Linked DNA regions of Caenorhabditis elegans. The protein of the gene in region 2 purifies or fractionates together with the protein of the main gene of each other region. This does not show direct contact. Each region holds a gene or a part of one and is shown on either strand. Other genes may lie near its edges.

Region 1 (3,756 bases), on a different chromosome or scaffold from region 2:
TCTGAAATATCTTAATTCAGGAGTGTAGAGACTCCTGTAAAACAAACCATCTCGAAATAATCTCAACGTTTTCAAATCCCACTTCAAACTTTCATCTATTCTCCCGAATTCCTTGTCAATATCAATATCGTTGGCACCATCAAGAATCTCAAATATTCTAGATATTTCATAAACTGATTTTCCAACGACGTCATGATTCTAAAAACATTGCATTTTTACAATTATTAATAAAAGTTTTCCCCACTTGCATCAGTATAAAATAATCCCAATCCGGTAATTTTACCATCTTCTCCATGCATTTGTAGTGTGCTAAATTCATATTATGACCCGCTGAATCTATTCGAAGTTCTTCTGAAACTCTAGTTAATTTAAATTATACATATATTCAATCAGTATACCATCTATTACAAATACATTTGGAAGACATCTACCAAGTCTCCTAATTCTCCATTTAAAATCATCTTTGCTTTTTGAATCAATGAAAAAGCAAAATATATTCTGTGGATGATATGACATTTGTACTTGTTTCTCCAAAAATTCATAGTCTTTATAGACAACTCGTGCAAATACAACACCAATTTTCAACGGCCTCAAATGAAAATTGAATGGAATAATTCGATTTTGAATTGAATAACATGACATATCTAAACTCTCCAAATTTGAGCTCAGGGGTATTCGATGCTCACCAATAAACTTTTCGATATAAGACTGAAATTTTATGTTTTTGGGTTATTTTTTAAACATTTAAATATTTAAAATTACTAACTCTATCATTTGCCAAAATTCTTCCACAATCCAAATGAGCTGTCTCTTTGCGTCTCCATAATATATTAGTTTCCTTTGAAGTCCAAAAACTCATTGTTATTCTAGGTGCCATTGAAAAGATCACAATTGTACAAACAAGCATTGTGAGTAATAAGAAGAAGAAGGTCCTGGAGTATTTGGAGCACATTTTGGAGAAAACGGAAAAGAATGGATGACAGATGGAAATGAAAAGAGAAAGAATGAAGAACCAGAGCAGACATTGGAAAGAATCCAAACATTTCATTCATTTCAAAACATTTACATCCACTTGGGTCTCACACTTTCTTTTTTTGATCTTCAAAAGTTGAGGGTTCTTGAGGGTTATAAATTAGTATTCAAATATTTATTTTTGTTTGTTAAAATTGTTTTTTTTTGTTGTTTGATCGAGAAAAGTACAGTCATATTTACAGATGGTAATTTGTTTAAATGGATACCTTCGCATTGCAGAAAACAAACTAAACAATTACCGTTTTTGAATTCTGGAAAAAATAAAAAATTGCTCTCATTTTCCTATTTGTGAAGGCATTATTCCTTGTTTAAAGTTACATTTTTCATAAATCTATTTGTAATATTTAGAATCGAGGAAATAGTTTTGAATCTTCTCATCTTTTATCTATCTATCAAATTGGTAGTTACCAGTAAATCGAATAGCCTTGAACTATAAAACTGGTAATTCTTAATAAGGAAACTAAAAGGTATTCATCCTTATATTTATCTAAGATTTTACTTCCCTCCGTTTAATTCAATTTTTTTCAAAAAGTCACCTTTTCAATAGCCGCATCAATTGTGCAATAGGTTCAACAGACAATATAGTTTGATTGGATAACAATTTGTACCGGAACAAACTGAGAAGATAACCCTATCATATTGGATTGACCCACCCTTTTTATCAACAAGCAAGTGAAGGAAATTTATTGCATGTTCGTTTTGAAGGAAAATATTCATTGCTACAAGTTATTTTTATCACAATCAGTGAATAAAATTAAAAAAAGATATGTATTAATTTTTTAAGCAAAAATATACTTCAAAATTCAATTTCATTATCATTTCTGCGCGCGGAACCAAAAAATTTGACAGTTTTCTTCAAAACCCAATAAATATCTGCCTTTAATATTTTTGTATACATAGATGAAAACTTTATCAATAAAAGTTTTGGCAAAAAAATACAGTAACCAATGCTGATGAAATCAACTTCCACGGAGTTTCAAGTTCTCTTGGTTTGTGGTGTCTCAACGAGAAAAGCAAACGCGCTCCATTGTTACAGAAAAATTGTGAGTTTTTTATTTCTCATTTTTGCTTCTTTTCAAGCCAAAAATGCGAAGTTTTATATGGATTTTATCATTTTTACAAGGTAATTTCTTATTTATTTTTTGCAAAAAACTTCAATTTCAGTTTGCCTTGCCGGGCGTCTTCAAATCATTTTGCCAAACGACCACATACTTGATTCGAGAAATTCGTCTTTCGATTCAGTTTCATTATTAAATTTCAACAAGAATGCTTTTGGACTTGGTGCTGCAGTTGGAGGTAGGTAACATTTTATTAATATAAAATGTTTTATTGCCTTATTTCAGCTCATCAGGCGATCGGCGATGAAAAATTGTTCCAAAAACCGAAGGCGTTGTTGATAATCGTTATTGACGGACTGGAAAACTTTGATTATGACGGACATGCTTTCAATTTTACGGATAAATTCCAGCCAAATCAAATTCAAGAACATTTCAAACAACAGTTTGGTGATGATATGATTCACGCCGAAGTAAACTCCTCTGGAATATTTGGATCATCGTTGTTTAAAAGAAATACTGAGGGAAACCATGCTAATTACGATACTTATAAGGAGGATCTTCAAAATATGTATCGACTTTCGGATGCAATCATGGAGAAAGATCGAAAAAATGCCAATGTTGTTGACTACTACCGTGTTCACCTTGACGTCTCCAATGCGCGAACAGATATGGAAAGAAAACAATTGGCAGAAAATATCAAGCGAGGTATTGATACATTACAAGATGCTATCAAGAACAGTTATGGCGGGAATGTGGTGGCTGAAATCTATACTCACGAGAAGCCTGATAGAGATGAGAAGGCTAGAATTAAGCTGTTACAAAAAGTATTGCAAGTGACTCAAGCTAGATATATCGATTATCCGGCAAGTGCGGCCATTATGATGTTTGTGGGATTCTCCCTTGTCTTCGTAAGTCCCATGTTAATTCATTCTTTCTAATAAAAAATTAACTTCAGGCGGCAGTTGCGATGTTGTGGTTGATGTTTGATGAAAGTGATATGGCCAAGAAAACGATCCTGGTTCGACTATCGATGGGTAGACAGAAGAAAGATTAGAATTAGATTTATAAATGATTGTAAAAACTGTATTTTCATAATTTATTTCGCTTTACGGCTTTACGGTTCTTTTTTTTGCATTTTTGACTAATCGCTTTCCGGTATTTGTTGCCATGTCATAAAGACTTCAGCTTTATGCATTTGAAACACTATCAGTGTATCAGGTTCTAAACCTTAAGATATCTCATTTTTAAATTTATCAATGCAATCCAACAGTATCAATTCAGAATGCTAAAATCGGCGTCATCGTTGGTGCGAAGTTTCATAAGGCCGCAGACATTCAGGTTATGTAGCTCCAGTTCAACCACGCAGGGATCTCCTTCGGTTAGCTCTGACGATGAGCCCGTAATTTTGGAGAATAATCCATACACAAAAGAGCCACGGAAGTGCCTCTTGTGCTCAACTGGTGTTGAACTCGATTACAAAAATTCGAGACTTTTGCAGGTACGAAATGTTTTAAACTGGAGCTCGGTAAAATCCAATTCTTTTTTTCAGCAATTTGTTTCCACATTCTCTGGGCGTGTATACGATCGTCACATCACTGGACTTTGCGACGAGAACAAGAAGAAGCTGATTGAAGCAATCGCGGTATGATGAACTGGAATAGAGTTA
Region 2 (3,756 bases):
GGTAGACTTCAACCCATGTCTTGCGCGCTCGTAACCTCAGAAGATGTCTGGATAAAAATCATTCCAAAATAGGCATAGGCCGCCTCCCAGGCTGAGTGTTCATGGGTGCTTGTAGGCATACAGGTAGACTTATAACGCTTGCGCGACAAACTCAGAGAGTTGCTTGGCTACGTTTTAAATTTTCCAGTTTCGAATAACTTTAAATATACCCCCCCCCCCCCCCCAGTTATGAGCTGCCAAGCTTGAACGATACCACACTGTAAAAAAGAAAAGCTGGGAGAAAGGGGCGCCTTCCATGACACCTTCGCCTAGAATTAGGTCTAAGTTTAGATCTAGTCCCCTTTTTTCTAAACTTCTTCTTCAGTTCCTAGTGTCTAGTTTACAGGTAATCTCTTAATTTCATCTGATTTTGTCTTCCAACTAAACTTTTGATTTCTGCCACGCCAGATTTTTGGAATGGCGTCAGCTGCTTCAAAATACTAAAAAAATCTAATCGAAGATCAAGATAATCCGAAAAATCAAATACAACCTTGGCAATAGTACAAGTGTCTGGCCGCTGTGGAAAACAATCATTTTCACTGTTTTCTTAACAAGAAATGCCATTTGCGGCAAATATTCATCCAATTAACAAATTACACGGGGTCTCTCATGCATCTAAGTGCGGTTTATTACAAGTATATGGGGAATCCACTCTGTGGATATAACCGTCTAGAATGTTCCACACATCTAGTTTTCAATTGTGTTGTTGACTTAAAAACTTTGGCATCTACTTTCAGGGTTTTGTATTAAACTAAAGTACTTTGAAGGCATTTTCCAGTTCTTCTAGTCGCTTTAAAGATTAGTATTTGGAAAAATTGAAGAATTCTAGCCTAGCAGTTCACACCTATAATTAACTATTTTTCTCACAAGGGCTTTACAGTTTTGGCTAGATTCTCAGTTTTCAAAGACTACCCCTCAATTCTGTTCCCTCTCCGGAATTCTCACTTTCACAGATTTGTTTTCTCATCCAAACGGACTGTGATTATGTATGCATTTCCTTCTTCTTCTTTTCTTTTCCTCAATGTTTTTCGGCTTTACCTTCCCCTTCTCACATGCCAAAACAGTGTGTTTATATCTCGAGATTCCTGGGAGGGAAAACTGCGTTTCCCATGTGTCGATTCTAATTGATTTGTTAGCCGTTTGATGCGCTTTTTGTGAACACAAAAAGCACGGTGTTTCCGCCCTTTTGTTCGAGATTTGTGACCAAAGCTAGCGCGGCTTATATGGACGTTTGGACTGTTATAGGCTACGGTTTCGGATTTCAATCTCCTTGAACCTATTTATCTCTTGATTTTTTTGTTTTTTTATTGTTTGTTTTGTTTTTGAAAATACTAGGAACTTGCAGTTAATAGAATGTGAATTAAGTTTAGATAATTACTTTTGCGTTGAAATTTTTCTAAAATAAACTCAAATAAAAAACAAGAGTCAGTTTGTCAAATTGAAGTTTATGAGCTAATAAATGTAAAAACCTCCATTATGCTGCACTTGTTGTAGTTATTTCAATTTACAGCTAGGTAGGTCTACTTCCTAGAGCCCAACTTCCAACTGAGCATTTGGCTTGAAAAATATGCTACTGGAAAACTAAAAACTTCCCCGTCAGTAAATTTCAAGAGACTAGAGTTTCCAAGAGCCTAGTAAAAGACTAGTGGAAATATGGAAGTTTACCTCTGAAAATCTGATTTAAACAATGAAATTTTTAGCTTTCCACCAATCAACTGAATTTCTGTTTGTTGCCGTGCAACGCTCTTTAGGGTTTTAATAAAATTAGTACCGTTTTTTTAACTTTCAAAAGTCGGAATTTGGATTTTGCAGAAATATTTTAAAACTTAATTCACAAGGTTGGCTTTTTTTAGTAAGAAATCTACAGGCTGTCAATAACCATTTCCTCGTTTTTGAAGTTTCAATTTCTCTCTATTTTCTACACCACTTCTCTCTACTTTTTACTCTAATTTTCTTCTCATTTCAATAATTTTCAGAAATGTTACACAGGCCGAAACTTACAGTAATCCTATCAGTATTACTCACCTTCCGGTTAGCGGATTGCTGGTTCCTCTCAATGGTGCGTTTTCATGGATATTCAATTTAGAACAAAATTATTTCAGCTCGGTGGTGGTGCTGGTGGTTGCCAAAATCAATGTCCGCCAGCTTACTCTGGGTATTATCAATCTCGGAATTATAATCCTCCGCAACAGGTAATCTGACGATAAAGATTTGGAAGGTGCAAAAACTAATGAGTAGACATTTTTCTGATAAGAATAGAAAATGAGCTGGTGATAAAGCTCCTGGCAAACTCTCACGCCTCCTACTTTCAGTCCAATGAGCATTGTGAGAAACTTGAAGAAAATTCGAAGAAAAAATAATTCAGAAATAGAAATTGATATGGTGACTGATTTTCAGAGTATTAGAGTGGGAATTCATTTGGCTGATAACTCAACCAATTTTTTGTTGAATCTTAGAATGGCCTTGGCAAATCTAAATTTGTAAAGCCTAAAACTTTTCAGCGATTCAACTACGGTTTGCCTCCTCCAACACCGCCTGCAAATTCATATGCAACTGCTCCAGCAAACTATGCGGCTCCTTCAAACGCCTACCCATTTGCTCCTCAATACTCAATTCCAATGAACTCATATGCTATGCCAAAATACGCAGTTGCTCCCCAATATGCAATGGTTCCATATCCAACCCCTCCAGCTTACGTTAGACCTCCACCGGTTTATGTCACACCTCCACCTGTATATATAACCCCACCACCAACTACAACTACTACAATTCCACCACCAAAATGTTTCCAAAACACTCAGGGATACAAATGTTGCAATCGACAGTTGGATCAATTTTTAGAACAGAAAGTTGGAGAGATGTTGAAGCCAGAATGGCAGAGATGTAATCTGCAACGATTTGCAACACAGCTTCAGGTTTGGTTCAGGGTCATTTTATTGATTTGCATATTAGGAGAGAAGTTGGGTGGGGTCGTTCTCAAGGTTCGGAGATTGAACTGCGAATTGAGGGGACTAGGTATAAGTTTAGATCATTTGAAACAGGATAAATTGAAGTGTTTTCAAAAAACTTAATTTTTTAGCCGTTTCTTTTGAAACAGTTGTCAAGTGCTCTACATAAAAAAATCTAAATGTTTTCAGCACGAAACGCAACAAATGTTCAATCATTCAATGGAAGCAATCGTTGCCAGTGGAGAAGTACAAAATCTTTCAAATTACCGCGGAGACCTTTATTGCAAAAAGCGGAGTCGAGACGGAAAGGTATTATTCACATATCTACTTATCGAATCAAAATCTAAATTTCAGATTGTTGTGATATATGGCTCAGCAGTTCCATATTCTCTAGATACCGGAGTGACTCGTCCAATGAACGATGACGAGTTGAGAACTCAAATGTATCCGGCTAAGTATGATGAAATTGGAGTGCATGATGGACATGAAGAGAACATTTGGTTCTAGGAATATTTATTTGAATTAATTCTTGTTTTTAATTATTTCGAAGTAGCCTATTTATAATTGTTGAAATCTTTTTTAAATATTTCCAAAAATTTCCAAATTTCCATCTCCAAAATTGATCTTGAATTTATTCTCCAGCCAATTCTTTTTCATCTTTTATTTTTTTTCAGCTTTTTATTATTTTAACTTTATACTTTGAATTAATAATTATATATTTCTTTTTTTCATATTGTTCTATGCTCACTTGTATATAAAAGGAAATAAA

Evidence for each region. The genes of interacting proteins can lie anywhere in the genome.
Region 1: the proteins of F02D8.1 (region 2) and T14B4.3 fractionate together in Caenorhabditis elegans (co-fractionation; one large-scale study listed by BioGRID). This does not show direct contact.

What each region holds. Positions count from the first base shown.
Region 1 is NC_003280.10:6,732,832-6,736,587, forward strand, and holds T14B4.3 (VWFA domain-containing protein), read left to right. Parts: upstream 1-2,105; 5' UTR 2,106-2,118; coding exon 2,119-2,155; intron 2,156-2,196; coding exon 2,197-2,328; intron 2,329-2,375; coding exon 2,376-2,998; intron 2,999-3,045; coding exon 3,046-3,144; 3' UTR 3,145-3,279; downstream 3,280-3,756. Other genes in the region: T14B4.9 (Core-2/I-Branching enzyme), read right to left, coding at 1-1, 48-198, 245-351, 399-708, 767-952; mrps-18.C (28S ribosomal protein S18c, mitochondrial), read left to right, coding at 3,373-3,588, 3,640-3,732.
Region 2 is NC_003283.11:14,976,490-14,980,245, forward strand, and holds the start of F02D8.1 (uncharacterized protein), read right to left. Parts: upstream 2,142-3,756; 5' UTR 2,099-2,141; coding exon of another isoform or gene 2,018-2,098; exon of another isoform or gene 2,016-2,017; intron 302-2,015; exon of another isoform or gene 280-301; intron 1-279. Other genes in the region: grd-12 (Ground-like domain-containing protein), read left to right, coding at 2,018-2,098, 2,142-2,231, 2,541-2,954, 3,177-3,296, 3,342-3,494.